5 linked regions of the Macaca mulatta genome follow. The protein of the gene in region 5 purifies or fractionates together with the protein of the main gene of each other region. This does not show direct contact. Links are inferred from orthologs where the notes say so. Each region holds a gene or a part of one and is shown on either strand. Other genes may lie near its edges.

Region 1 (6,076 bases), on a different chromosome or scaffold from region 5:
GTAGATCACGAGGTCAGGATATCAAGACCATCCTGGCTAACACGGTGGAACCCCGTCTCTACTAAAAAAATAAAAAAATAAAAAATAAAAATAAAAGAAAGAGAGGAAGAGATTCCAAGCCAGCTCTGCTGGCCACAGCTCTAGGGAGACCTCAACCCAAACCAAACAGCAGGATTTATGAAGTTATGCAAGGTTGAAGGAGCCTGGGCATCCCAGATCCTCAGCCTCCTGGCCTGCACTGACTCTTAGTCAATCTCCTGTCACTAACCCCTCCCTGGCCTCCATTCTACATATTGGTGGTGAATTCCAAAGCCCCACTGGCCTGGGGACAGCGATGGGGGCCTTAAGAGACTCCTCAAGGGGAGGGGGTATTGATGGGATGACTTCCTGGTTATTGACCTGGCTGTACCCTCTACCCAGAAAAACCCCTCCATCCTTTGTGCTGCCCGGCTCTGTCCCCAGCACCTTGGAGGCTGATCAAGTATTCTAGTCATCTTATTATGTTTACCTCCACCACCAGACTATGAGTGCCCATCACTGTTGACCTCACATCACCAAACTATAAGCATTTCCAGGGCTGGGACAGAGTCCCAGCAATCTCTTTGGTGCTGACACATAGTAGGTGCTCAATTAACACTTGAGCTAAATTGGATTTAGCAGCTTGATCAGAAATGCCTTCCCGGAAGATCCCCTCTGTCTCATTATCCCTGCATCTCCTCCCCAGCCCTGCTTCTCCTTCACTGTAAATCCCCCAAATTCCACTTGTCCTTTACCTCCCAGCTCAAGGATGCGCCCCGTCCAGAGAGCCTTCCTTACTACTCTCACCCTTGGTGAGCTCTCTACTTCATAAACTGTAGAATCCTTTTTTTTTTTTTTTTTTTTTTTTTTTTTTTTTTTTGAGACGGAGTCTGGCTCTGTCGCCCGGGCTGGAGTGCAGTGGCCGGATCTCAGCTCACTGCAAGCTCCGCCCCCCGGGTTCCCGCCATTCTCCTGACTCAGCCTCCCGAGTAGCTGGGACTACAGGCGCCGCCACCACGCCCGGCTAGTTTTTTGTATTTTTTTTTAGTAGAGACGGGGTTTCACCGTGTTCGCCAGGATGGTCTCGATCTCCTAACCTCGTGATCCGCCCGTCTCGGCCTCCCAAAGTGCTGGGATTACAGGCTTGAGCCACCGCGCCCGGCCTAACTGTAGAATCCTTAAAAGGCTGTTTTGAAGATTAAGTCAGGTCATGGAAGTAAAATGTTAGAACACGACTGGGCACATCATAAAGGCTGGATAAACTTGGGCTAGTGGTTAGGAAGGAAAGAGTGGCCTCTTCCTGCTGCTTCCACTTCTGAAAGCCGCCAGAGGGCGTCCACCACCCAGAATTCTCTGGCAGGGGGTGCGGGAGAAGGGGCCCCTCCCCAAGAACAGAACTTTCTAAAGTGGATGTTTGAACATCGCAGTTATAGGGAAGAGTTGTAGAAAGGATGGAGAGACAAACGTTCTTAAGCCCATGACGGCCCTTCACCTGGTCGCTCCCTTTTCTGATGGAGACTCGGGCAATAGCGTGTGTGTGTGTGTGTGTGTGTGTGTGTGTGTGTGTGTGTCCCAATATCAGACATTTGTTCTTGTTTTCCAGGCAGTGTCTCCAGCTTCTTTCTGTAATGCTGTAGTACTCTCTCCAGTATTTCAGGAGGATGAGCATTTGTTATTTTAAAAAAAACCAAAAAACAAAAAAAAAACCTGGCCACATTCATTTCTTTCAGCAGCCATGCGATTTCCATCACTGCTCCCATTTTATGGATGAAGAAACTGAGTTAGAGGAATTCAGTAAGTGATACCTCTCTCGGATGTGTCGAGTAACTGAGACTGCACTCCCTCCAGGCTGGAACGTCCTGGCACCCCCACTCCCACAGGCTCGGTTCTGTGCATTATTTGCCTTTTTTGCGGATTGTGACCCTTCTTCACGGCCTCCTCCCTCAGAAAGCCACCACCCTCAGATCCGATTCTCCATGGTAGGGCTTCTTCTTTGGTTCCACTCTCCAGCACCCTGGGGAAGCAGGGACAGAGGCTGCTGCCACTCTCTGACCTCTAAGGGGTTAAGACCTGGGTCCCGCCCCTCTTCCCGCCCGCCTGGCGGGAGTATGAATAGCCTCGCTCCCACTCCCGACTCTCAGTCGCTCAGGCTACTCCCACCCCGCCCCGCCCCGTCATTGTCCCCGTCGGTCTCTTTTCTCTTCGGTCCTAAAAGCTCTGTGAGCCGCTCCCTTTTCCTGGTGCCCAGCGTCTGTCCATCCTCAGTGGGTCAGACGAGCAGGATGGAGGGCTGCATGGGGGAGGAGTCTTTTCAGATGTGGGAGCTCAATCGGCGCCTGGAGGCCTACCTGGGCCGGGTCAAGGCGCTGGAGGAGCAGAATGAGCTGCTCAGCGCCGAGCTCGGGGGGCTCCGGGCACAATCCGGGGACACCTCCTGGCGGGCGCGAGCCGACGATGAGCTGGCGGCCCTGCGGGCCCTCGTTGATCAGCGCTGGCGGGAGAAGCACGCGGCCGAGGTGGCGCGCGACAACCTGGCTGAAGAGCTGGAGGGCGTGGTGGGCCGATGCCAGCAGCTGCGGCTGGCCCGGGAGCGGACGGCGGAGGAGGTAGCCCGCAACCGGCGCGCCGTCGAGGCGGAGAAATGCGCCCGGGCCTGGCTGAGCAGACAGGCGGCAGAGCTGGAGCGCGAGCTAGAGGCTCTACGCCTGGCGCACGAGGAAGAGCGCATCGGCCTGAACGCACAGGCTGCCTGTGCCCCCCGCTGCCCCGCGCCGCCCCGCGGGCCTCCCGCGCCGGCCCCGGAGGTGGAGGAGCTGGCAAGGCGACTGGGCGAGGCGTGGCGCGGGGCAGTGCGCGGCTATCAGGAGCGCGTGGCGCACATGGAGACGTCGCTGGGCCAGGCCCGCGAGCGGCTGGGCCGGGCGGTGCAGGGTGCCCGCGAGGGCCGCCTGGAGTTGCAGCAGCTCCAGGCTGAGCGCGGAGGCCTCCAGGAGCGCAGGGCAGCGTTGGAACAGAGGTTGGAGGGCCGCTGGCAGGAGCGGCTGCGGGCTACTGAAAAGTTCCAGGTGAGGAGGTTGAGGGCCTGGGTGAGAGAAAGTTCCAGAAAGCTCCAGAAAGTCCCTTATGAAGCTCAGAGACCTTCTGGGAAGGGAGTGGGGCTAGCTGGCTGTTGAATCAGGAGCCAGTTCTCAGAAACCTGGTGCCACAAGTCCTAGACTTTTACAGCCCCGTCTAGTGTAGGGTGCGAATGGTGGGGCTTCTCAAAACACATCCCTGGGTGGGCAGTCAGGCCCAAGACTCATTGCAGCAGCACCCCCCCCCCCCCACTCTCTGGGTGGCACCGTCTGGCTCTGATGATGACCGGGGCTCCGGGCCCCTCCCCAGGCTCTGCTATTACTGGGAAGATGCCCAGCACTATCGCCTCTGCGCTGAGTCTGGTGGCCTGGTCACTCAGAATCTCCAAGTTCCTCACAGCCCTCCTTCCCCTGAGGGGAGGAGTGAGGGGCCCTGAATGAATGGTTACCAGCCCCCTCCCATGTCATGGCTTCTCGGCTCCCTGGAGCACATTCCAGAGGCCCATAACAGCTGCTCCTTCTCACAGGGCACAGATGTGACCAGCAGCTGCGAAAACAGCTTCTTGCCTGAGCCACACAGAGGTGCCATGGCCACCTCCCCATCCCTCCTCTCAGAGGAGAGAGAATCCAGAACATGTGGGAAATTGGGTGGGGCGGGGGTGGGAGCCTGCTGTGAGGAGCAGGAGACAGCTATGGGAGATGGGACCAATGGGGGACTGGGGCTGTTTGCCTTCCAGTCCTGCAGGCTCCAGGCCTCTTGATTAATCGTTTTTCCTTCTGCTTCCACTTTTTTTTTCCCTCTTCTCCTCTCCATAACCCATCACCTCCCCTTCCTGTGGGGGCTGTGTTCTGAGCAACATGTGCTACCATTTAATCAGCATCCTCAGAGGAGGAGCAGTGGGAGAGGGCTGAGAGGGCTGACAGGGGCCCTGGGCTTATCTTGGCTGATCCAGAGGGGGCTCTCTGGGCAGGGAGTAGGGTGGGGGAGACGGGGGTCTGCTGCACAGAGAAGTCAGCCAGGGAGCAGGAGGTGCTTCCCAGGCAGCAGCAGCGGGCAGGACACAGGTTGGTTCGCAGAAGGGACCCCAGCCCCTCCGCTGACTGCCTCTTGCCTGCCCTGCAGCTGGCTGTGGAGGCCCTGGAGCAGGAGAAACAGGGCCTACAGAGCCAGATCGCTCAGGTCCTGGAAGGTCGGCAGCAGCTGGCGCATCTCAAGATGTCCCTCAGCCTGGAGGTGGCCACGTACAGGTACGAGATGAGCCCTGTCTACCCAGGCACACAGAGGTGCACACACATGCTGGGGCAGACTGTGTGGCTGAAGGGGACCAGAGGTGTAGGTGATGGTAACTCTGCTGCCACTGGGTTCTGTAACTCTAGGCTAGTGACTTCCACACCGAAACATGTCCTGCCTGAAACCATCTGCTCTCCCGTAGGTTGGAGACCTGAAAAATGTCCTGTGCCCAGGAAATTCCCCCAGGAGAGATGATATTGCTGAGTGGGACAGCCTCTGGAGAGGGGCTGGACCCGTGCGGGGCAACTGTATCCAGACCCTCCCCCCAAGGGGCAAAGCTCCAACTCTATGCGTGCCCACACCCCGGGGGCCATGTCCTTTGGCAACCACGGAAAGGAGGCATTGCAGGCATGGGGTGGCTGCACTGACTTGCCACCTGACCTGGGCCTCAGCCTTGTCTAGGGGCTGAGAGCTGGGCTGGGGGACTTCCAAGGCCTCTTCTAGCCTGGATGTCATGGGGCCTGACTCCTCTGATGCCCCCTAGTGCCCTTGGTCCTGCCCAACCTTTCATCGTCCACATTTTCTGTTTTCCTAGAAATGGCTGAGACCAAGGAGGGGCGGCTTCTCACTTGCTATGTGGCCTTGGGCAAAGCCCGCAGTCTCTTCTGGGAAATTGGCCCTGTTGGCTGAGGGGCCATTGATGGACCCTGAGGAAGGGGCTCTGTGGCTGGTGAAGGGCCATATGAGGTCAGGAAAGGAGGGGAGGCAAGGCCCAGAGATGGAAGGTCAGTGAGGCTCTGGGGAGGATGTGGAAGAGAGGGGCTCCACCACCAGGGAAGAGAAGCCCAGAAGGAAGGCCACAGCATTGGGAAGGACAGAGGTGAGGCTACAGCAAGTGCTAACCAGTCTCAGAGATCATGGAGCAAAGCAGAGAGGAGTAGCTGCTCAGCCTAAGTTGTTGAGTTGATTGGTCCCTGCTCCCCTCATTGGTTCAAGGGGCACTGAGGCAGGGGCCTGGACACAAAGACCTCCGTGCACCGAAGAGCTTGGGATCCAGAGTGCTTAGAGATCCTAAGATGAGGGCCCTGACCCCAAGTGAAACCACCGAGGGGAAGGGTCTGGTGGGCCCCGAGGAATTTAACTGCTGGTTTTTGAGGCATGAAAAGGATTTGGAGAGGGGGAGCTGAATTCATTTGCTTTTGTCTGTCGCTAGCTCTGGGGGCCACCAGGGAAGGAGGAGGGAGCCCATCCCATGGGAACGGCCTGAGAATTCCCACTTCCCCAGAATCCTCTCCTTCTCAGACCCTCCAGATGGTGACTTGGACAATGGCAGCAATTAGCATGAGAATCGGTCCCCCACACAGAGGATGAGGTCATCGGCCTGGGGTGGGAGGAGGAGGCTAGCCTAAGCCTTGTGTGCGTGTGTGTAGGGCAGTGTCCGACTGTGTGGGAATCTGCTTCTATGTCTGAGCTCTGCTGTGTATCCCAATACGGTGTGACTCTGTGTGACCAAGTGTGTGACGTCTGTGGGTATGTGACTATGTGATTTCACCCTGAGTGTGACTTTTGTGTGACATTGTCAAATGAAGAGGAAGCCTGCAGGGCCAGGATGGTACAAGCTCAGCCTGAGTTGTCCCCAGCTGGCTTGCTGCCTGCAGGCCTGGGGGCAGAGGGCTGACCCCACTTTCCCTCCCTCCTCTCCAGGACCCTCCTGGAGGCTGAGAATTCCCGGCTGCAAACACCTGGCGGTGGC
Region 2 (6,102 bases), on a different chromosome or scaffold from region 5:
AAGTTAAAAATAAACTTAGTTGGGTGCAGTGGCTCACACCTGTAATCCCAGCATCTTGGGAGGCCCAGGAAGGAGGGTTGCTTGAGGTCAGAATTTCACGACAGTCTGGGTAACATAAAGAGACCTGTCCTCTATGAAAAAAATTTTTAAAAACTTTAGCTGGGTGTGGTAGTGCGTGCCTGTAGTCCTAGCTACTCAGGAGGCTGAGGTGGGAGGATTGCTTGAGCCCAGGAGTTTGAGATTGTAGGGAGCTATGATATTGCCATTGCACTCCAGCTGACAGAGTGTGACCCTGTCTCTAAAGAAAAACAATAAAAAATTAAAAAAATTTAAAAATGGGTAACATTGTAAATTTTATGTAGTATATTTTACCACTCTTTTTTTAAGGCCAGTCTTACCCTGAACTCAGAGCAGTCTGTATGGTAGGCCATCACTGAATCACTCCAGATAGGAAACTTTCTATTTTTGTTTAGAGTTTGTACACAAAATCTACAAATACGTTACATTGAAATACCACGTATAGCCATTTTAATTTAGTCATGTTGGGAGAAAAACAGATGGGTTACAAATACACCAGATATCGAGCAAATCGTTTGAGTTACGTCTAGCAGCACTAAAACTTATTCACCTTTGGCCAAATACAAATACAAAATTGGAAAAAAATGATAATATCTGCTATTTTTAAAAGACAGTTATAGTCAAGAGCTTGTGTTTTGTATCGCTATTTGATTTTTAGTGGGCAGATGGGAGAAGGAAAGGTTATTTATTCTACAGAAGAGACTGGGGACAATTCATATAAAAAGTTTATTTTCAGAAAATAAAATAATAAAAGCCCAGAGTATTTTAAATGCTTCTTATATAAGATGTGATATTTAGTAAAGTTTATCTGTTATCATTTATATGGTAGTAAAGTTGAAAAAAATTGCAATTTTCCAAAAACTAAAGCAAAAATCAGTGTCTCAGAAAATTTAAGAATGTAATGACATGCCCTGTAGTCCATTTCTTCACTCTTAACAGAAAACCAAAAATTTAGATTTAATCATCTTACTCAATAGCTTAAAATTCCTCAAAGTTTTCCCACCATCTAAATGAAAAAGCTAATTGTTTCTTAACATAATATACAAGGCCCTCCATGAGCCAGCCACCAGCTTTTTCCCAACTTGATTTCCTATCAGCTCCTTGCGCCCATCTTACGCTCTAGCTCAACTGTTTCCAAAATCTGTTCCAGGGATACCAGTTCAAGACTCATCACAGAAAAGGGGTCCATGGTCAAATACATTTTTACACATTTTGCAAATTACTGCTGAACACATCTCTTAGAAACCTAGACTATTAAGGGCTGGGTGCAGTGGCTCACGCTTAAAATCTCAACACTCTGAGAGGCTGAGGTGGGAGGATCACTTGATCCTAGGAGTTCAAGTTTACCCTGGTCAACATGGCGAGACCCCATCTCCAAAAAAAGATTTAAACTATTATGTACATTATGAAATGCAGCATTCCCCAAAAGTATTTGATCACAGAATCATTTTCGTGTAATGCCTACTATTTTGTCTAAGAACATATTTCAAAAAAGCTTTTCCTAAGCCGGGTGCAGTGGCTCACGCCTGTAATCCTAGCACTTTGGGAGGCCGAGGCTGGCGGATAATCCGAGGTCAGGAGTTTAAGACTAGTCTGGCCAACATGGTGAAACCCTGTCTCTACTAAAAATACATAAATTAGCCAGGCATGGTGGCGGGCACCTGTAATCCCAGCTACTCGGGAGGCTGAGGCAGGAGAATCGCTTGAACTCCGGAGGTAGAGGTTGCAGTGAGCCAAGAGATCGCGCCATTGCACTCGGGCCTGGGCTAGAGTCAGACTCTGTCTTTTTTTTTTAAAAAAAAAAAAAAAAAAGGCCGGGCGCTGTGGCTCAAGCCTGTAATCCCAGCACTTTGGGAGGCCGAGACGGGCGGATCACGAGGTCAGGAGATCGAGACCATCCTGGCTAACACAGTGAAACCCCGTCTCTACTTAAAAAAAAAAAAACAAAAAAACACCAAAAAAACTAGCCGGGCGAGGTGGGGGGCACCTGTAGTGCCAGCTACTTGGGAGGCTGAGGCAGGAGAATGGCGTAAACCCGGGAGGCGGAACTTGCAGTGAGCTGAGATCCGGCCACTGCACTCCAGCCTGGGCGACAGAGCAAGACTCCATCTCAAAAAAAAAAAAAAAAAAATCCAGCCATACTACATGATTGCAATGCTTAGTGTTGGCCATTCCTTTTCAGAGTTCTGTGTCTTTACAAGCGTTCCTTCTGGTAGTACGGCTTTTAGTCATGTTGGTGACAGCCTTTCAAATAAAAGCAAATTCCAGGCCGGGCGCGGTGGCTCAGAGAGGAGGGTGGATCGCTTGAGGCCAGGAGTTCGAGATCCACTTGGCCAACATGGCAAAACCTGGTCTCTACTACAATTACGAAAATTAGCCAGGCGTGGTGGCACGTGCCTATAATCCCAGTTACCTCCGGAGGCTGAGGTACGAGAATTGCTTGACCCCAGGAGGCAAGAGGATGCAAATGAGTAGAGATTGCCACTGCACTCCAGTCTGAGCGACAGAATGAGGGCCTGTCTCAAAAAAAGACTGAACAATTGCACATCTTTCTTTTCACCTAATCCCACGGAAACTTACGTCTTTCTGTAGCTTTACTATGAGAACTGAAGAACAAGTTCTGTGCACTGGACAATAACTTTTTATTTTTTATAGTAAGAAGTCGATGTAATTAACATTCCATTTTAAATGAATTCAAGTATATCAACATAAACATATGCCAAGACATAGCTTTGATGTCAAATACCACACGTTGTTTATATATTGGCCCAAAAAACTGAAATACAATCCAATGGCAGATCCGCCTGCAAGGAAGGTGATTCAGTTTTCACTGATTAAGCTTTATGTTCATCAGATTAATTGCTCGCAATAGAGGACACCCTACAAAAAATTATTCTCCTTAATCCTTCGTCTTGTCTTTGCAAACAGGACTTTCAGACACAGAATGCCCCAGGAGTATTTCCAAACAGTTACCTTTCCTAAGAAGAGCTGCTTAAATAATTTGTGTTACTAAGACACGCTTCGTGTATATTCTGGAGCAAGCTCTCATGCCTAACAGAAACAAGAGCTACTTGATGTGAGACACTTTGTCACTTATATCACTTATTTGTGATAACTGCCACAACTTCGGAGTCCGAGTAACTTGGAAGACAGCCCCTCTGGGGAATGGCACACTTTTTTCTCTGCAGTCGTTTCGGCTTCACAGAATACCTGAACGGTAGAGAACACACTGGGACCACCCCCTTCCAGGAGCAGCCGGTATAGAAGAAATCCGCGGAGAGCACAGAGGGTTGGGGAGCGGAGGCCCCACCAGGAGAAAGGTCGGCCGAAACAGGGATCGCCTGAGACCAACTTGGGTCCCTCCAGGGGACACCATGGGAGGAGACCGTGGGAGGAGAGTCTAACCTGAGAAACTGCGGATGTTTGCTACAGCGGGAACCAGCTTGGGGGCTGAGAGCAGCCAAGGCATGACGGCCTAACTCACGCGTCGGGAAGAGAAAGAGGGTAACCGCCTGCAGCGCCGCGTCGCCAGGAAACCAGGCCAGCCCCCCCCCCCCGCTTCCGGCAGGCGTCGCTCCCGGGCCTTCCTTGCGCGGCGGCGCAGGGTGTGACGTCATGCCCCGAGGTGGGACCGCCTCTCCGGTTCCACACCCTTGTTTAGGTCGGGGTGTTGAGTTCTACTCGGTGCGCGCAGCCACACGATGTGTTCTTGGACGTTGCTCCCTGGAGGGGATGCTATCTACCGCCTCCTTGCAGGCGCCCATTTCTGGGGTTGGCCCATCCAGGGAGCTGGTTCCTAGTTAAGAATATGAGAATGCATGCGCAGGGAGGCAGGCAACAGCACGAACAGCCACGCTTCTAGAAGGTTCTAGGGAGCGCGCAGGAGCAGCGCAGAGAGAGTAGGAATGAGCAGGCGGAGGACCCGGGGTCACGAGACCGTTGGGTGGGAGGAGCCAGCGGCCGGGGAGGTTCTGGTCTGTTCTGCCTCGCGGCAGCCGCCCCCTTCTGCGCGGTCACGCCGAGCCAGCGCCTGGGCCTGGAACAGGGCCGTAGTCCCCCCAGCTTCGCCCACCACCTCTCTACCATGGACCCCCGCAAAGTGAACGAGCTTCGGGCCTTTGTGAAAATGTGTAAGCAGGACCCGAGCGTTCTGCACACCGAGGAAATGCGCTTCCTGAGAGAGTGGGTGGAGAGGTGAGACCCAGGCCTGAGGACCGTTGGGGGCGGGGAGAAGCACGGCCCCAGGGGGAGCCGGGCGGGAGCTGGCTCCGGCCGGCGGGCGAGGCGGGGTCGCAGCCCCTTCTTTGCCCGGGAAAGGGAGGCGACTTCGATGGGTCATGGAGGATCGCGAGCCCTGGGTAGTACAGGAGCTGCGGCGAGCCGGAGGCAGACCGGGTTCCTCGCACCCTGAGGTTGCCAGGGGTGTATCTTGGGCGAAATAAAAAAACGGATACGTCGACACTGGAGACGCGAGGAGTGAGAACTGCAAGACTTAGCTTTTGCGTGGGGTGGTTTTTTCTTTCAGTCTCGTGTGCCCTGCTCAGGTCTCATTGGTATATAGCGGTTCTTTTACGCACTATCCCTTTACATTGTGTTATTATAATATAACACTAGTAAGTTAAAAGTTACAAAATTATTTAGTAAGTTAGAATAAAAATGATAACTGTAAAAATGATTGTCTTTACCTTACAGCGTTTCTAGCTGCGTAGGATTATCTTGAGAATCACTTTTTATACCTCCGTTACTTGGCAGTGTTGTCACTCCAAACACTTCTGAGAAAAATAATGTTTTAAGTCCTGGCGTGTTTCCAGGATGTATTCTTGTCTTTAACTGTAGAGTACTTCGCTACGTGCAAGGAGTTAATTGCCAAGGCATTGTGCCTGGTGCTAGGAAACAGTATAAGTACTATTTAGGGATACAGACGAATAAATACGAAAGTTCGTTTTGATATTTACTATATAATAGTAATTAGCACTTTACGTATTGAAGGAGCCCCGAAGAGAGAAAAAGTGAGAAGGAAGTCTTCCCTAAGATGACTTTTTAAAAAGTTACTACTAGTGGATAACTGCAAAGATGACATACAAATTGCACTAAACAGGGATAAATAGCAACTATGCAGACCATTGCGACTCCTAAGAGGTGCTATTGTGAACATTATCTATTTAGTGATTTTTCTCTTTTAGAGACAGGGTTTGGCTGTATCATCCAGGCCGCATACAGTGGCGGGATCACTGCAGCCTCTGATTCCTGCGCACAGACGATCCTCCTGCCTCAGCCTCCCAGGTGGCTAGCAGTGCAGGATTGAGCCACCATACTTGGCTAATTTAATTTTTTTTTTAGAGGTGGGGGTCACGTTAAGTTGCCCAGGCTTGTCTTGAATTCCTGGCCTCAAAGGACTCCCCTGCCTCCCAAAGTGGTGGTATTACAGGCGTCAGCCACTTCACCCAGCCTGATATTTTTATATGGGAAGATGAGCTCATGATTACCAAATAGCTCAAAGAATATTAACAGGCTGGTTCTAAGGAAAAAACTCGTTGCAATCTGTCAACGTTGTATATTTTTTTCCTCTTAAGTAGTTTTTCAATCTTTAACTCCCCACCAATTGTCTTAACTACTGAAAGACTTTTACTTATATGTGAAATTCTGAGACCATTTAATATTATTATGTTAATAGTAACTATGACTTGGTAAGAAGTCTATTTTGCAAACTCCTCAACCGGGAAATGTCAGGATTAGGAATTGAGGGCTAGATTTTAGTCGTATTCTCTATTGAACAGCTTGATGATCCAAAAGCCTTTAAGATATTTGTATGCTTTTATCCTAATTATAGGAAAGAACCTGCAGTTAATAAATTCTTTCTAAAATTCCAGGTAAAGTAAACAAGTATCACAGGAAGAAATAGCTAGCTCCAAGAGCTGACTGCACTTTAAGTGGATACAATGTTTTTGTTCCATTCTTACTAGTGAGGAAGAGGAGACACAGAAGGAAAAATTAACGCGTAAGAACAGTGTCCTCCTGACTTGT
Region 3 (6,401 bases), on a different chromosome or scaffold from region 5:
AGAAAGGAAAGACTCTGTGGGTGCTTATGACTACGAATTCAGTTTTGCCATTCTTATAAAGGTTGTTAGCTACTTTTTTTTTTTTTAACCTAAGAGACAGGGTCTCACTCTGTCGCCCAGACACGCTGCAGTGCAGTGGCAGTCATAACTCACTGCATCCTGGAACTCCTGGGGTCAAGGGATCCTCCTGCCTTAGCCTCCCAAAGTGCTGTAATTACAGCCATGAGCCACTGTGCCCAGCCTGTCAACTACTTTTGGTTTAGTTTCCCCAACAAACCAAAGAGAAAATCTCACCCAGGAACCAAAAGGAGGAAAAGCTTTGGGAAAGGAGCATGCTGGGAAAGGGGCATGCATGCCATTTACTGAGCTGAGGGACCCCAGGAGGTACTGCCTCCTTCCTGGAGCAGCTGCACCCTAGGGCTGCATGACACATGCTCTCTACATAACCTGGGAATGCCAGTCCTCTGTGAGCTGATCATGAGGGTGTACTGCCAAAGTTGAGTTTTCTGGCTTTTTCCTTTTATATTTAAAATCTTTCTAATATGGTATGATTGTTGAGGGAGTCAGCAGGAAAAACAAAAGCTAGATCAAAGATAAAGTAGAGTAAAAGATTAAACCAGTAAGTCAAAAGACTTTTCCATATTAAGTAGATAGTATGCCAAACAAAGTTACTTTAATTCCCAGTGTGACAGAGTTGGACTGGCTCCCTTCGTTGGGCACATATTAAGCAACAGATAATACTGCTCCTATTTTTTTATGTATATGATTTATTACTGTACACACTGGGTCTATGTTGCCCAGGCTAGTCTGGAACTCCTGGCCTCAAATGATCCTCCCACCTCCACCTCTCATAATGCTAGGATTACAGGTGTGAGCTACCATGCCAGGTCATAACATTGCTTCTAAACCATAGAATCACACCAGCACTTATGTCAGTTACCAACACTAGGCCAAACACAGACATTAAACAAAATCAGAATTTCATAAAACTTCAGAGATCACCGAACTTTTGAACATCCAATTCACAGATTAATGACATCACAGATCTAAATGCTTAAGTTTCAAAAGGGAAAGATAAGAAACATCAAGTTCTAGAATACATATATACATTTTGTTTCAATATAATTCTCTAAAGGGCTATTCAAACAAAACAAATACATTATAAAAGCCTAATATTACTGGTATTAAAATTACCAGTAAAAATAAAAAATTAACAAATTTATTTCTAGTCAGTAATACAGATTCATCAAATTACTATGAAACAGCTTTGAAATTGATAATTTTTTAAAAATCTCAAGACATTCTATCACTTCAAAAGCCAAATAAACTTTAAGCAATTAATCTGTCACTGATGAAACACGTATTGACTGATTCATGTTTACCTACAAAATGTAAAAAAAAAATCTGCCTTGCCTTTAAAGATGGTTGAAAATGGAAACCAAAATGAGACAGTATATAAAAGTGCTTGATAAGCATTTTAATTATAAGATACTGTAAGCCAGCTAACAGAGTTTACACAGAGAGAACAGTGAAATACAAGTGATGCTCTAACTTGGTAGGGTAAGAGTAGTTAGAAGGCTAGGTGCAATTAATTCGGAGTCTAATCCTAGTTCAACCATTAAGTACTAATAACCTCATAACACAAGTCACTAAAGTCCACTGAGCCCCTATTTTCTTATTTAGAAAGTGAAAGAACTGGACTAGAGATACTTCCTAATTCAATGGGTACTACCTTTGAAAACCTGGGAACAGACCTATGATGTGTCAAAACACTATTACATATTTCTTCACAGGTGGGTCAGTGATTAAATGAGAAGACTCATTTTTATCCCTCACTCATCAGATTAGTGAGCTGAAGCCTTGTCATCTACCAGCAACTCACAGCTAACATGAGTAAAAGCTGGAAGCACAAAGCTGGTCTTCAAACTCTGAACCCAGTGCGTTTCTCAATTAGGTATAACTCAGTGTCTATCTACTATGAAAATGTAATGGAGTCAATTTGCTAATGTCCGAATTTGCTGTGGTAGAAAGAAAGGCAGTCATTCATTCAATACATTAACTGATAGGCACTGTTCTTTCTGGGTGCAAAGAGTAAAGCAGTGGATAAAAGAAAACACCGCCGGGTGCCATGGCTCACGCCTGTAATCCCAGCACTTTGGAAGGCCGAGGAGGGCAGATCACGAGGTCAGGAGTTCGAGACCAGACTGGCCAACATGGTAAAACCCCGTCTCTACTAAAAATACAAAAATTATCCGGGCGTGGTAGTGGGTGTTTATAATCCCAGCTACTTGGGAGGCTGAGGCAGGAGAATCGCTTGAAACTGGAAGGCGGAGGTTGCAGTGAGCCGAGATCACACCACCGCACTCCAGCCTGGGCGAAAGAATGAAACGCCGTTTCAAAAAACAAAACAAAACACCACGACCTCATAGAGCTCACACTGTGGTTGGGAAAGACCATCAACGTAAATGTGTAAAATACGGGGTACATCATAGTGGTAAGTGCTACGGAGAAAAATGAACAAGGATAGCAAGCAAGGACAAGGCGATTTGCAATGTACTTCTTTTAAGCCAAACGGATGCCATTTAAAGAACTGTAACAATAACGCATCTAAAGTAGTTTTCTTCAGCATTTTCCCAAACAGGGAAGATGGCCTGCTGATTCCAATTTGAGATTGGTTGCTCAAACCTCTGAACTGCCAGCTAGAAGCTGTCTGTCACATTAGCAATCCCAATTCTGTACTAACGATGATACCTCGGCCCCCACTCCCGCCCCCCCACCACTCCACACCCCTCACCGCCAAAGAGCGCAAATGGATTTATAAAACAAATCCAGGAGAAACCAGAAGTTACAAGAGCGCTTGAACTGCTTCTAAGTTAGCACAAATGTCTCCCCAGTTCAAAGGTTAAAGTGCAGCGTTTGTGGTGGTTTTGCTGGGACAAAGCGCTAAGAATACACATCATTTTGCTTTTTCTGACCTGTCAATTGTAGTGATATTCTCTACCATTAGCCTATATTTAACCAGCTTACTGGGCAGTTTCTCCAGTTTTTAGCATTCCCCCCTTCCCTTTTATTAAAACAGCAACCTAGTTTGCAAGAAGGTTGCTAAAAGAAAAGATAGCCTTCTGCAAGATCTGATATACTTGTATAAGCACTGTCTTATCAACCTTTTAATTAACCTGGTTAGTTGAATTGGCAAATCAGGTTAAGTTTTGCTTTACTAAAGTATTAAAATGCCCTTAGTCGCAAGGCTCTCACGGTCCTCGGGTTGTAACAGCATCCTGAGAATTCGCCACAGTTTACTTCAACGTGTAACTCTTCTTTTAAACAGTTACCAGAAAGGAGCGGAAAAGACACGTTTGGCAAGGAGAAGAATTTCGCCCGGGGGATCTGACTACCAACCCAAGGAGAACTTCGAGAGGGTTTTCTCTGCCAGCACCCCGCGAGGCGCTGTCGGTCCGGCCTCCCAGCGGGCAGGGCGCTCCCGGCCGGGTTGGCGGCGCCGGCCCAGCCCCCGAGCGTGAATTCGGAGGCGACCGGCCGGCGAACTTCAGCTGGGACCGCGGGCCCGGCCAGGGCGAGGGGGCGACTCTTCCCCAGGGCTGCCTCGCCCAGCTCGCAGGTGCGGGTCCCGGCCGGCCCAGGACGGGATCTGGGGGCTTCCGGGTCTCCGAGGCCGGGCGCCCGCTGGCGCATTGGGAACCGGGAGGGACAGGGCGGGGGATCGCGGCCTGGGTCCGGGGACAACTCCGAGGGGCGCGGGGGTCCCATGGGGAGCGCGGGCCCGGAAGGCACAGAGGCCGCCCGGGGGACGCGGTCAGCGGGGCCGGGTTCCGGCGCGTGCCGGGAGGGAAGCCACGCCAACAGTGACGCGGGGACCCCTGCGCCGGGGACAGGAGACAGGGTCTGGGGGCCACGCCCGGCCCGGCCGCCCCGCCTCCGGCTCCGGGCAGCAACGCCGCACCCGCCCGCCCGCCGCGGCCCCCTCCCCACCTGATATAGGGACTGGCCGCCGCCAGGATGTTCTTCTGCACCGGGATCTCCTCCCCGTCGAGGACCAGGTGCGCGTCGCAGAAGCGGGACTCCTCACGGAAAGAGCTGAGCGCTCGCAGCAGACGCGCGGCGTGCTGAGGGTCAGACACGGCACTGCCCTCAGCCATCGCGGCGCCCGCTCCTCTGCCAGCGGGTCCGGCTCCCGACACCGCCCGGCCGGACCACTCGAGCCGCCGAGTCCCGCGCGCGCGCCCGCCCGGCCCGGCTCTCCGCGCTCTGAACAGAAGCTGGAGCCCCCGGAACGCGCCTGTGCCATCCGCGGCGCGCTGGGCCGGCGCCTTTAAGAAGCCGCGTCATGAAGTCATTTCTCCGCGACGCCCCCGCACCGTCGCTCCCCGCCCTCTCTCCCCTGCCGCTGGAGGCAGCCAATCAGAAGCCTCCTTCCTCCGCCCGCGTGACCAGCTCCGCCTGGGTGCAGCGGAAGGTGTAGAGGGATGAGGTAGGTCCCTGCGGCGGTGGAGGGATGTGCGGGCGGGCTAGGATTCTGTGGTTGAACCTGCGGCCTCTGGGGCCGCGAGTTTGAATCCTGGTTGCAGCTCTTCCACTTACTAGCTGTGTGGCCATGGATAAGGTGCCCATCCTCAGTTTCTCCGTCTGCAAAATGAAAACGACTTTTTAGTGGTGTTGTGGACCCATGAGATGACGCATGGAAGCAAGGGCGCAGTCGCTGTAGCTTGCTTTATTTATGAGAGAAAAGGAGCTGCCCAGGTGAGAGCACAAAGACCCGAGAAAACAGACCCAGAAAAGATGGTTTTGGTTGCGGGCTAGGAAGGAGACGTGGCAGATGAAGCTGGAGAAGTCCGAAGGAGTCCTTAAGTTTTGTAGGGCCTCCTTGGTGTGGGAAGGAGGTTAGTTTCTGCAGGGGTGAAGAACCATGCAAGGGTATTTAGCAGAGGGTTTTGTGCAGATCACTCAGCTCCTGCGTGGAGAATAAGGCGGGGATGAATGTGCTAAAGGCGATCGATGTTTAGGTATTGCAGGACTTAAGAGAAGGGAATGGGCACCTGGATGAAAGGGTGATAGGAGGTGGACAAGGGTGGATTGTTTTAAAAGAAATTATGAGGGAGAGGGAGTCAAGGATAAATATTCTGGTTGAGTAACTGCATGCATGTTTGTACCTTTCAGGGAGAGCTAGGAAATGCTGAAGGGGTGGGCAGTAGAGAAGCAGATGTTTAGATTCAGACAGGCTCCCAACCCAGTGAAGATCAAAGCTGTGACAGAAAGGATCTCTGGGCCAGCTCAGCTGGCAGGCCAAGCCCCACAGTATCTGAAGTTTCCCTGGAGGCTGCTCAGGGCACATGGGAGTGTGGAATGTAGCTACCATTTTGTGCAAACGTTAGGTACTCCATAAGCCTCTAAAAAATTAGCAATTTTATGAGGACCTCGGACCAGAAGAATGTGGCCAGCATTCCAGTCAAGACAGGATAGGATTTTCACTGAAGCAGCCCAGTCTTTTCCTTCAACCAACTGAGAGGCTCCAATAAAGTCTTGGGTATTTACCCAGACCAGCCAAGGCTTTGGAGTCACTGGCAGGAATCTGGGTATCTAACTGTTTTCAGAGCAGAAGAATAGGTGGGAAGGGAACGGCTGTGGAAGACACATGCATTTCCACTTCCTTCTGTAAATGCAGCTCAGTACTCCCGGATGCAATGATGTCTAGGATTTGCTTCAAAACACAACAAAGGGATGGGGAAGCAGATGGGAGTGTAGATGAGTCAAAAGTGGCCACAAGTTACTAATTGTTAAAGCCACGTAATGGGGATGTGGAGATTCGTCGTACTGTCTCTATATTTTTGTGGATGTTTAATGGGGATGTGGAGATTCATTGTACTGTTTCTATATTTTTGTGGATGTTGAAAAATATTTTCTTTTTCTTTTTTTTTTTTTTGAGATGGAGTCTCGCTCTATTGCCCAGGCTGGAGTGCAGTGGCACAATCTCTGTTCACTGCAACCTCTGCCTCCCGGGTTCAAGTGATTCTCCTGCCTCAGCCTCCCAAGTAGCTGGGACTACAGGCGTGTGCCACCATGCCTGACTAATTTTTGTATTTTCAGTAGAGATGGGCTTTTACCATGTTGGCCAGGCTGGTCTTGAACTCCTGAGCTTGTGATCTGCTTGCCTCGGTCTCGGCCTCCCAAAGTGCCGGAATTACAGGTGTGAGCCACGACACCCGGCCAAAAAATATATTTAAAAAGGTAAGAAACACACAAGACAAGCAGCTTGGATTTATCTTCTCCATGATACCTGCCCAGGAATGTCAGCTGCCCTGGGAGTCCTGCAATACCTCCCAGGGCAGCTGACATTCCTTTCTCCAAGCAGTTGCTGTATTTTGAACATTGCTCCAGCAAGAAAC
Region 4 (5,523 bases), on a different chromosome or scaffold from region 5:
ATACATTGACTAGACCTCTTCTCCCCCTTTAACTCTTACTCATCCTTTAAACCCGTTTCCCTTCTTCCTGGTTTCCCGACAGGTAACCCTCCTGTTTTCACAGCACCTGTTACTTCATACTATTGCTGTAGCAGTTTCACTTCTGAGTTGGGGAATGTATCCTTTCTGTCTTTGGCCTATGTAGAAAATTAAAATTGGGAATGCTGTCAATGCAAGTGCTGGGGCAACTGTAGACAGACATGTACTGGCCCTTGAGAAGTTAGTATGTAGGTTAGAAGGTGGCAAAAAACAAGGGACTGTTTGTCTAGGTGAAAGAAGTGGCAGGAACACAGGCAGAGATCTGAGTTGGTCAGGGTAGAGTAGTGCTATCACTGCAAGCCACAAATGTCATTTTAAATGTTCTGGTAGCTCTATTAAAAAAAAGAAACAGGTGAAATTAACTTCAATGCATTTTATTTAACCCAACACATATTTCAACATGTAATCAGTATCAAATATTGACGTATTTTACATTCTTTTTGTGTGCTGTCTTAGAAATCTGCTGTGTATTTTACACTTACATCACATCTCAATTGAGACTAGTCATATTTCAAATGAGTCATACGTGACTAGTGGCTTCGGTACTAGTAATCCAGGGCTAGAGGAAAATGTTCATATGGAAGAGTAACAGAGGTTCAAGTTGGAGGTAGGGGTCAAACTAGAGGGGGTCTGAATGCCACTAAATAAAGTGGAAAGCCTTTGAAGGACTGTGAGTTGACTGGAAAGTTAATCTAGTGGTTAACACAGGATTAAGAGACCATCCTTAATGCCACTGTAGCGATCCTTTCTTCGCTGCTGCACTCTGTCACAGCTTATCACTGGTGGTGCGGACTGCTTTTCCAAGCATGCACTTTTGTGCCTTAACAACAGGTCTGGTATGTAGTGAGGACTGAGAAATCAGGACAGCAGTATGCAGATGCTTCCCTCTTTAGACGACACACTCTTAGGCATGGCTGGGCACTAAAAAAGGTCCTTGGGCCGGGCGCGGTGGCTCAAGCCTGTAATCCCAGCACTTTGGGAGGCCGAGACGGGCGGATCACGAGGTCAGGAGATCGAGACCATCCTGGCTAACACGGTGAAACCCCGTCTGTACTAAAAAAAAATACAAAAAACTAGCCGGGCGAGGTGGTGGGCGTCTGTAGTCCCAGCTACCTGGGAGGCTGAGGCAGGAGAATGGCGTAAACCCGGCAGGCGGAGCTTGCAGTGAGCTGAGATCCGGCCACTGCACTCCAGCCTGGGCGACAGAGAGAGACTCTGTCTCAAAAAAAAAAAAAAAAAAAAAAAAAAAAAAAAAAGGTCCTTGGACAATGTTGGTGAAAGCTGAGATACAGCCAGAGTATCAAACAGTGCAGGCTGATGTGCCACAGGTATGATGTCAAGTATGACTCAGAGGACAAATTTTCTAGATCCTTTTCATAATAGCATTTACCCCAACTGGACTCCTTAGTATTCTTTAAAATGAGGTAAAGTTACTCTCCCTTTAAAAGATACCAACTTCACCCATTCCTCTCTTCCCGACTCCCTCCCGCCTCCTTAAGGATCCATGCCAGCTAGCAGGTCAACCAGAGACTGACTTGCTGACATCGTCCTTACCTTATTCCTCAGGTATATATCATAGGCAGGGACAATTTACAGAATGCATCCCAACCTGGTTTTGTAAGAATAAGAAAATTATCTGAGGGCTCCCAAGGGTCTCCTGTGCATAGCATCTTCATCTTCCAACTTAGAACAACTAAAGAAATTCAGTCTTTTTGTGTAATGAAAAAAGGATGAGCTGGACACAGTGGCTCACACCTGTGATCCCAGCACTTTGGGAGACCAAGGTGGGGGGATTACTTGAGCCCAGGAACAAGACCAGCCTGGGCAACATAGCGAGACCCTGTCTCTATAAAAAAAAAATAATTAAGAAGAAAAAAGGATGCAGGAAATTAGCAACTAGGATAGCCAACACCCTCACTAAAGCATCAATTTCCACATGATGTTAAGGTAAGTACCAAGTAGAAGTATCTCTGACTTTAAGGAGCTTTGGACACAAAAACTTTTCCTTAAACAAGCCATTTATTTTCTAAACATGGACTTCCACTAGTTGTGTAACTCTCCTAGAATTCTAGCCAATATTTAATAATTGTTGCCATACTTTAAGTAGTATATATATATATATATTTTTTTTTTGAGACGGAGTCTCGCTCTGTCGCCCAGGCTTGGAGTGCAGTGGCCGGATCTCAGCTCACTGCAAGCTCCGCCTCCCGGGTTCACGCCATTCTCCTGCCTCAGCCTCCCGAGTAGCTGGGACTACAGGCGCCCGCCACCTCGCCCGGCTAGTTTTTTGTATTTTTTTAGTAGAGACGGGGTTTCACCATGTTAGCCAGGATAGTCTCGATCTCCTGACCTCGTGATCCGCCCGTCTCTGCCTCCCAAAGTGCTGGGATTACAGGCTTGAGCCACCGCGCCCGGCCAAGTAGTATATTATTAAAAACTACCAGTTATCTTAAACTTGCACATGGAGGGAGAAGTATATGAAACTCTCAGTTCACTAACTAGACCAAAATCCTCCTCAATGACACTAAGGTTGTAATACTAAAAAGTCCCCATCACCCTCCCAGGAGTCTATTAAGCTGTGGTTAACAGACAAGATTCCTTTTAGGTCACCATTTTCACTTTTTTTTCAAAGACCAACCTCTCTGAACCTCTGTTTCGTAACCTATCATATAAATGCTGCTCAATACTGCTACGAAGATTAAACAATGAACAAAAAAGTGTTTTATTTAGAGTGGACAATGTCAGGTTTTTATTGTTTGGCTCATTAGAAATGTTCTTGGCCATCTCATGCAGGAACAGCTGGAGGAAATGGAAGAACGCCAAAGGCAGTTAAGAAGTGGGGTGCAAGTCCAGCAACAGAAGAACAAAGAGATGGAACAGCTAAGGCTCAGTCTTGCTGAAGAGCTCTCTACTTATAAGTCAGTTTCCGCTGCTACACAAATCTCATCTAACACTGGCTGAGGGGATGGTGGAAGGGCTTAGGGAAAATTTTAATTTAGAGTCAAAAACAAGGATTTGGGAAATGATTTTCAAATTGTGCTTATCCACAAACACATGGAAAATGGCTCTCTTCTTTTAAAGGGCTATGCTACCCAAGAGCCTGGAAGAGGCTGATGCTCCCACTTCTTAGGCAGGTGGAATGGAAACACAGTCTCAAGGTGATCTTTGTGGAGAGAAGAGTGGTGTTTGCATTGTTACTGCTTTCCTAACAGTACTAATTAATGTCTTAAAAACAACAGGCCGGGCGGAGTGGCTCATGCCTGTAATCCTAAGACTTTGGGAGGCCGAGGTGGGCAGATCATGAGGTCAGGAGTTCAAGACCAGCCTGGCCAAAATGGTGAAACCCCATCTCTACTAAAATATAAAACTTAGCTGGGCATAGTGGGCATAATCCCAGCTACTCAGGAGGCCAAGGCAGAATTGTTTGAACCGGGAGGCAGAGATTGCAGTGAGTCAAGATCACAATACTGCACTCCAGCCTGGACAACAGAGATTCTGTCTCAAAAAAACAAAACAAAACAAAAACCCCCCAAAAAAAACAACAACAAAAAAACCCTTAAGTGTGTGCCTAATGACAAGGGGATAACAAAAACCTCCAAAATGCCTGGGTCAGGCATTCAGAGTTCATTTGGAATGTTTCAGTTTCTAGTAGGACTCAAAATATGCCCTGATTATCACCACGAATTCTGTGGCATCTAGGCTTTGGGCATCTTGTTTCCTCACCCTACCCTACCCACCTGCTATTCTGTTTTCCTTACAATAGCAGGGAAGGCAGTTGTGCTATCAAAAATAATAAACATATCTATCCATTAATTTCCTTATTTAATATTCAAAGGCTGTGGTTTTGGGTAGAAGCAGAGATGTTCATATTACACAGACTTACCTTTTTTTTCCTTTTTTTTGAGACGGAGTCTTGCTCTATTGCCAGGCTGGATTCAGTGGTGTGACCTCTGCCTCCCGAGTTCAAGTGATTCCCCTACCTCAGCCTCCCAAGTAGCTGGGATTACAGGCATGCACCACCACGCCTGGCTAATTTTTTGTATTTTAGTAGAGACGGGGTTTCACCATGTTGGCCAAGATGGTCTCGATCTCCTGACCTCGTGATGCACTCACCTCAGCCTCCTAAAGTGCTAGATTATAGGTGTAAGCCACCGTGCCTGGCCCACACAGACTTACTTTTAGACACTGACAAAACTGAAGGCATCTTTCTGACCAATCACCTATTCAGGATCCCTCCCCAAATGTTTTACTAGTATATTCTCATAAAAGTTCTAGAGTCCCTTAAAGAAACTAAGGATAAAAGTCCGTGTCAAGTTGTATATTATACAGATGCCTATATATTTTATTTATTTCCTAAACTTACATCAAATTCACAAGTAACTTTTTTTTTTTTTTTTGAGACAGAGTCTCGCTCCACCCAAGCTGGATAGAGTGCAGCGGCTCGGTCTTGGTCTCGGTTCACTATAACCTCCGCCTCCTGAGTAGCTGGGACTAGAGGTGTGTGCCACCACGGCCGGCTAATTTTTGTATTTTTAGTAGAGACGGGGTTTCACCATCTTGGCCAGGCTGGTCTTGAACTCCTGACCCTGTGATCCACCAGCCTCAGCCTCTCAAAGTGCTGGGATGACAGGCATGAACCACTGTGCCTGGCCCACAAGTAACTATTGTTGCTTTTTCTAATTTTCTAGGATATTATTATTTTTTAAAATTTCTTTTTAGTAGAGATGGGGGGTCTTGCTATGTTGCCCAGGCTGGAGTAGTGGCACGATCTTGGCTCACTGCAACTCTGTCTCTTGGGTTCAAGCAATACTCCTGCCTCAGCCTGCTAAGCAGCTGGGATTACAGGCATGAGCCACCACACCCAGTCTTGAGGATTTTCTTAAACTGTGTTTGAATCCACATGACTGATAATATGCCTAATGTTTGTGAAATTATAACCTTGCAATTGAAGTCAATGATCTGCTAGCTATCTTTGTGTGGATCAGATTAAAAGTACAATCTGGAAAAGACAATGACTAATCCAAAGAAATGAAACTAAAGAATTTCAGGCATTGTAATTATACCTGTGGAAGTTAACGTACCAGAGAAAAACGTTTAAGTATCCCTCCCATCACCACCACATAGGTTACCATTCACTCTATTTCACAAACAGGAGGCATCCAAATATTTGCTAGGGGAAAGTCATCCCTGATCATCCATAAATCACACTGTAACAACCTCTCCTCAACAAAGCCTGCAGTAACTAAACCTCAGAAGTTCATTGTTACAAACTTTTTCTTTTTCTTTCAACCTTACAGGGGCTGTTTAGAAATATATGGCCAAATCTGTAACCCAGAAACAGCAAAAAACTTCTTAGCAAAGGATCACTAAGTACCCTCTGGACGTTCTCTTCCGAACAGACAAGAGTGCCAGGAACTTGGCAAGCATTTCATCCTGTGGAAGTTG
Region 5 (6,169 bases):
TCCCCTGACAGTGCCACCGCATTGCCCTGGGATCGGCATTGCATGTAGAAGTGAGTTCCACACTCTCTTCCTCCCATACGGAGATCGCCTTTCTCATTCTAAGGGTTCCAGGCAAACTCACAATGGTGACATTTGCTGAGCAGTGGCTTGAATAAAGGGCTCTCAGAAAGCAAGATGTAACTCAGAGCATAGGCTTGTCCTCCAGGGCACCCAGCCCCAGGAATGCTCTTGGGGAATGACCTGCAGCCTCCCAGTGAAAGAAAGAATAAAAGAAAGCCCCAGCAGGCGAGCTGGGCAGTAGAGAGTCCTGTAATTCCACCTTGGCAGCACCATTTGCAAGAACGAACCGGGATAAGGTAAACAAAATATTGCCTAAAAGAGGCTTGTCCGAAGAAGTCAGAAGAAGCTCTTCATTGGCCTCTAAATTATTTTTCTTAAATACCAGGTAACCTGCAGTACCCCTTGCCCCCACCAAAAAGAAAGAAAGAAAGAAATGCATTTTTTTTCCTCCTATCCACTGCAGAATCGATTTTACAGTGGTTCTGTAGTTAATCCTTTCAGTACACCATAAATCTAAATACTCAAAAAAACTGTGCTTTTTCAATTGCTACTAAATCACAAGAAGACTGATTTACATAGCCGCCTTTTATCTCCCTTGGCTGGTGAGTACTCAGCTCTGCTCGTTACTAATATTGAAACAACAGCCCTTGAATTGAGTGATTTCCCTAGAAAGGTTAAGATGACCGAATCTGAACACTCCCTCCGTGCCTGGGACACGAAGTTTTTTGCTCCGTGGACAGTTTTATCCCCCCTCACCCCAAGGTCAATTGCACGAATTCTTCTGGAAAACAGGACCTGTGACATTTCCCAGACAAATCACCGTGAACCCTGCACTGTGCATTGGCTGTCCTAAAATTAACACACAAATCTATTGCCGCCAAACATTCTGTCATTTGTGTTATATAATTGCCTTTCATTTGAACTCATTAATCAAATTGGGGTTTTTAAGCAACACCTAATTAATTATTTCATTGGCTCAAATTATACCTTTAATAACTTCCACCAGGGTGAAAACCACTGATCACTGAGTTCGATTTTGAAACTACGGACGTTGAGTTTCCTCTTTCACCCAGAATTTTCAGATCTTGTTTAAAAAGTTGGGTGTGGTTTCACGCGGGGAGGGGGAAGAGCGAGAGGAGACCGGAGGGACGGGGGCGGGGACTCTGCAAGAAAAACCTTCCCCGTGCAATCGTGATCCAGGAGGCCCACGTATGGCGCCTCTTCAAAGGCTGAAGAAGTTTCTTACTAACAAAAAGTCCACACATCGAGCAAAGTCAGGCTTTAGCGAGTTATAAGAACTTAGAGGCGCTCTTGTCCCCCAAAGGGCCCCACCGCACACATCAAAGCGATGGCCCAGCTCTAAGTTGGTAGGACTGGGAACCAGCAGCACGCGCGGAGCCGCGGAGACTCGAGTCAATCTGGTCTAACGGTTTCCCCTAAACCGCTTAGCAGCCCTCAATCGGCGGGACAGCAGGGCGCGGTGAGTCACCACCGGTGACTCAGCGACCCCACCCCTCTCCCTCGGGCTTTCCTCTGCCACCGCCGCCTGTCAACTCCCGCCGTCCGAAGCTGGACTGAGTCCGTTAGGTCCCTCGATAGAGCCTCCCCTCCCCCCAACATCTCCCAGCCAAGGCAAGTCGACAGAGGCGCGGGCCGGAGCAGCCCCCCTTTCCAAGCGGGCGGTGAGCGAGGCTGCGCGGGGCCCTGAGCCCTACGTTCCTGAGCTGTGCGCGCCCCCATCCCGCGTTCCAATCTCAGGCGCTCTTTGTTTCTTTCTCAGCGACTTCAGATCTGCCGGATCCCTTACTCTTCCCTCTTCCCGCTCCTTTGCTCGCGGGTCTCCCCACCTGACCGCAGCCCCGAGGCAGCCGCGCGCTTCCTCCCACGCCCCTCTGGCGCGGTGCCACCGGACCCCTCTGGTTCAGTCCCGGGCGGATCCCCCCTCACCGCGCGACCCCGCCTTTTTCAGCACCCCAGGGTGAGCCCAGCTCAGACTATCATCCGGAAAGCCCCAAAAGTCCCAGCCCAGCGCTGAAGTAACGGGACCATGCCCAGTCCCAGGCCCTGGAGGAGAAAGGCTCGAGGGCGCCCCCACCCCACCCGCCCACCCTCCCCGCTTCTCGCCAGGTCCCTATTGGCTGGCGCGCTCCGCGGCTGGGATGGCAGTGGGAGGGGACCCTCCTTCCTAATGCGGTTATAAAAACAGCGCCTTCGGCGGGGTCCAGTCCTCTGCCACTCTCGCTCCGAGGTCCCCGCGCCAGAGACTCAGCCGCGCTCCCACCACCCACACCCACCGCGCCCTCGTCCGCCTCTTCTCTAGGAGCCAGTCCGCGCCACCGCCGCAGCCCAGCCCATCGCCACCCTCCGCAGCCATGACCACCAGGTCCGTGTCCTCGTCCTCCTACCGCAGGATGTTCGGCGGCCCGGGCACCGCGAGCCGGCCGAGCTCCAGCCGGAGCTACGTGACTACGTCCACCCGCACCTACAGCCTGGGCAGCGCGCTGCGCCCCAGCACCAGCCGCAGCCTCTACGCCTCGTCCCCGGGCGGCGTGTATGCCACGCGCTCCTCTGCGGTGCGCCTGCGGAGCAGCGTGCCCGGGGTGCGGCTCCTCCAGGACTCGGTGGACTTCTCGCTGGCCGACGCCATCAACACCGAGTTCAAGAATACCCGCACCAACGAGAAGGTGGAGCTGCAGGAGCTGAATGACCGCTTCGCCAACTACATCGACAAGGTGCGCTTCCTGGAGCAGCAGAATAAGATCCTGCTGGCCGAGCTCGAGCAGCTCAAGGGCCAGGGCAAGTCGCGCCTGGGGGACCTCTACGAGGAGGAGATGCGGGAGCTGCGCCGGCAGGTGGACCAGCTAACCAACGACAAAGCCCGCGTCGAGGTGGAGCGCGACAACCTGACCGAGGACATCATGCGCCTCCGGGAGAAGTAAGGCTGCGCCCATTGCAAGTCGCTGGGCCTCGGGAGGGGGCTGGAGGGAGAGGGGAACGCCCCCCGCCCCCGCCAGGGCTGCCACGCCCTTGGGGATGAGGCCCGGGGGAGGCCTGCCGGGGGGACTGCGGAGAGCAGCGGCTGTGGCTGTGGCGGCGCAGCCCCGCCCAGAACCCAGACCTTGCAGTTCGCATTTCCCCCTCTGTCCCCACACATTGCCCAAGGACGCTCCGTTTCAAGTTACAGATTTCTTAAAACTACCACTTTGTGTGCAGTTGAAGGCCCTTGGGCACAATGAGAGCGAGTCCTCCAAACTTTTATAAAGTTTCCTGCCCCTTCTGGCGGGCGGCCAATCGCCCGGCGGGCGAAGGAAGGAGGGGAAGGCGGTGGAGGGAGCGAGACAAAGGAATGGTCTCTCGGGGGTGGGTATGGCGGCGCTGTCCTGCAGGTCTGTGCGGCGACCGTGATTGCCCCTCTGCGCGGTGCCCAAGGTCCCACTGAAACCTGCCGAGGGCCACAGGCCTGAAAGCTGCAAGCGCTAGTTGCGCCGAGGTGGCGCAGCGGCTCTGGAGGCGCAGCGCGGCTACGTGGTGGTTGGGTGTGGCCGCCCCGCCCCTGGCGGTTTCCCAGTTCCCCTTTGGTTAATGCGCAACTGTTTCAGATTGCAGGAGGAGATGCTTCAGAGAGAGGAAGCCGAGAACACCCTGCAATCTTTCAGACAGGTTTGTAGGCTCTCTTCCCACTCGCAGCTACCTGACCCCACCCAACACAACCCACGAGCAATTCTAAAAGTTGCTTAACCCACGTCTAAAAAGTGCAAAACTTCAGGGCTGCGCGTAAAGCCCTCTAGTGGCGGGAAGACCACAGATTGGAGCTTCTCATTATTAGAAAAAATATTAATAAAACCGCTTGGACGATTTTTTGGGGGGACGGAGTCTCACTCTGTCGCCCAGGCTGGAGTGCAGTGGCGAGATCTTGGCTAGCAGCAACCTCTGCCTCCCGGGTTCAAGCGATCCTTGAATGATTTCTAAGCCGTTCCTTGGGACATAAAGAAAAATCTTTTAACTTTTTACTTTGTTTGCAAAATGTTGCACAGTTTTGCAACACATTGACCTTCTGGTTTCGAACGGTCACAATTTTAGATTGTGGTTTGCCAAAGTCAAGTCGCTTAATTTTTACAAGGTCACAAAAAGCGCAGTTATGCCCTACAGTTTAAAATGGAAAACGTGTTGGAAGATAAGAAAACTTAGTTTCCAACTGGAATGGAGCCAGCAAGTTTCTTTTCTTCTTTGCAACTTCTATTGTGGCATTAAAGTTCGATGGAAGTATCACTATGCACAACTATTTTGTGATCTAATAAGGGTGAAAAGGAGCCATCTGTCCCCTCGGCTGAGGGGTATTAATGGTTTCTATGGGCTTCACTATGGAATGTAGATACAGACATTCTGGCAAATGTGGTGGCTGTGGACAGAAATAATAGGAGTCTTTGTGTTCCCGGGGAAGCTTTGCAGCAGGCTACATTCTTATTGAATATGTAGTGATGTAAGCACGGTTCTAATTGGACACAAGTATTTGCTAACATCCGTTATCTAATATCTGGCCCAGACTTGAGAAGTATGTAATGTAAAAAGTTTTTAAAGCTACAAACATACCTCACATTTTGAAAGTCCTTTCTTGATTGGATTCTTGTATTCTTTAGCACTCTCGCCATAAAAAATAATAATAATAGTAATAAATCTAAGGCTGAAAAATTCAATTTTAACTAAAGGGTTTTTGTGCGTTTTTTTTTTTTTTTTTTCCCACCAAAATTGGATGGACTTACAGAATTTTTGACTTAAAATTGGAATCCAGAAGCCAGAAGATCCCCATTATAGTCTATAGTTTTATTCCCTGGAATATTTACTGGGATTAACTACAAAGCACTCTCAGATGAATAGTGTAGTACAACATTTTGAAACTGAAATACATTTACCAAATTAATTTAACCACAGCAATGTGTGGTTCATTTTAGTCCTTGAGCATTTTTGATTATCATACCTGTAATGTTTTCTGCAGAGTAGTGAGTTAACGTAAAACAACATCAATACAAAAGATCCTCTGTTTTGAGATTAAGCAAAATTCCTCATTCTCTTTAAGCAAAATTCCTCATTCTCTTCAATGTAATAGTAATACCACATTGATCTTTCTTTGGAGATTAGTAAAATATCTTTTATGTATTTCTTAGGGCTTAGCAAGTAAAAATGAATGTTTTCATCAAGTCTGATCTTTTTATCACCCACTCTTCATTCATTTTTCCACTAAGGTGATAGAAAAGTCTCAACAGTTTAAGACCATAAGGCTATAAACTGAACTCCAAATATAATTGCTGACAAGATAAACAATCCTCACGCATCCTTTTGAGAGGAAATAAAATCTTAGTTGCAAGATTACATGTTCTGAATTGGAATGTTGAGCTTTACAAATGGAAACATAGAAGGACAGCTGAATCAGCAAAAATCCTTCATGTAGTTTCATTCTCTGCAAGTTTGACCAGTCATTCTGAAACAGGCCAACTGAACGGATACAGTGGCAAGCGAAAAAGACACGCCTTTGTAGGATGAGTCAAAGGAGTTTTAGAAGAAAAATCCATCAGAGAAAGCAGAGAAAATACAGTTCAGAGTTACATTTCTTTTCCAATTTTTCCTGAACTGAATCTTTGGCAGCATATCCTGAATTGGGTTATTATTGAATATAAATCTAGCCTTGTACAATGGATGCCACATGATTGCATATTTGCTTTGGAGCCTAAGGATAAGTTTCAAAAGATTTGAGTGGGGAAAAAAAGCTAAAACTCTTGAAGCACAAGTTTCTGTTCTCCATGTACTCAAGTGTACATGAAGTTATGAAAATATGTCCACCTCTATCATCATGTTATTCCATGAAATTACAAAACAAATCTTAACAATGTTGTGGCATAGATTTTCTAGATTTAAAAGGTAATTAAATTAAAGGAATTACTTTCTTTTTTGAGACAGAGTGTCACTCTGTTGCCCAGGCTGGAGTGCAGTGGCGCTATGTCAGCTCACTACAACCTCTGCCTCCTAGGGTTGAAGAAATTATCCTGCCTCAACCTCTCAAGTAGCTGGGACTACAGGTGTGTGCCACCCACCCAGCTAATTTTTGTATTTTCAG

The links.
Region 1: the proteins of VIM (region 5) and NES purify together in Homo sapiens (affinity purification with mass spectrometry; 3 studies listed by BioGRID and IntAct, counting the BioPlex papers as one, with this or other methods). This does not show direct contact. The link is inferred for Macaca mulatta from reciprocal best matches to the Homo sapiens genes VIM and NES.
Region 2: the proteins of VIM (region 5) and XPNPEP3 purify together in Homo sapiens (affinity purification with mass spectrometry; 3 studies listed by BioGRID and IntAct, with this or other methods). This does not show direct contact. The link is inferred for Macaca mulatta from reciprocal best matches to the Homo sapiens genes VIM and XPNPEP3.
Region 3: the proteins of VIM (region 5) and GAN purify together in Homo sapiens (affinity purification with mass spectrometry; 3 studies listed by BioGRID and IntAct, counting the BioPlex papers as one, with this or other methods). This does not show direct contact. The link is inferred for Macaca mulatta from reciprocal best matches to the Homo sapiens genes VIM and GAN.
Region 4: the proteins of VIM (region 5) and SYNC purify together in Homo sapiens (affinity purification with mass spectrometry; 3 studies listed by BioGRID and IntAct, counting the BioPlex papers as one, with this or other methods). This does not show direct contact. The link is inferred for Macaca mulatta from reciprocal best matches to the Homo sapiens genes VIM and SYNC.

What each region holds. Positions count from the first base shown.
Region 1 is NC_133406.1:110,247,053-110,253,128, forward strand, and holds the start of NES (nestin), read left to right. Parts: upstream 1-2,157; 5' UTR 2,158-2,300; coding exon 2,301-3,083; intron 3,084-4,215; coding exon 4,216-4,340; intron 4,341-6,027; coding exon 6,028-6,076. UniProt on the Homo sapiens protein: Required for brain and eye development.
Region 2 is NC_133415.1:10,675,262-10,681,363, forward strand, and holds the start of XPNPEP3 (xaa-Pro aminopeptidase 3), read right to left. Parts: upstream 3,619-6,102; 5' UTR 3,548-3,618; coding exon 3,484-3,547; intron 3,289-3,483; exon of another isoform or gene 2,659-3,288; intron 1-2,658. Other genes in the region: ST13 (hsc70-interacting protein), read left to right, coding at 4,163-4,272. UniProt on the Homo sapiens protein: Catalyzes the removal of a penultimate prolyl residue from the N-termini of peptides, such as Leu-Pro-Ala. Also shows low activity towards peptides with Ala or Ser at the P1 position.
Region 3 is NC_133425.1:76,691,093-76,697,493, reverse strand, and holds the start of GAN (gigaxonin), read right to left. Parts: upstream 4,305-6,401; 5' UTR 4,158-4,304; coding exon 3,991-4,157; intron 1-3,990. UniProt on the Homo sapiens protein: Probable cytoskeletal component that directly or indirectly plays an important role in neurofilament architecture.
Region 4 is NC_133406.1:208,180,922-208,186,444, forward strand, and holds part of SYNC (syncoilin), read left to right. Parts: intron 1-2,871; coding exon 2,872-2,996; intron 2,997-3,159; coding exon of another isoform or gene 3,160-3,208; exon of another isoform or gene 3,209-3,236; intron 3,237-5,375; coding exon 5,376-5,448; 3' UTR 5,449-5,523.
Region 5 is NC_133414.1:18,786,122-18,792,290, forward strand, and holds the start of VIM (vimentin), read left to right. Parts: upstream 1-2,287; 5' UTR 2,288-2,432; coding exon 2,433-2,995; intron 2,996-3,659; coding exon 3,660-3,720; intron 3,721-6,169. UniProt on the Homo sapiens protein: Vimentins are class-III intermediate filaments found in various non-epithelial cells, especially mesenchymal cells. Vimentin is attached to the nucleus, endoplasmic reticulum, and mitochondria, either laterally or terminally.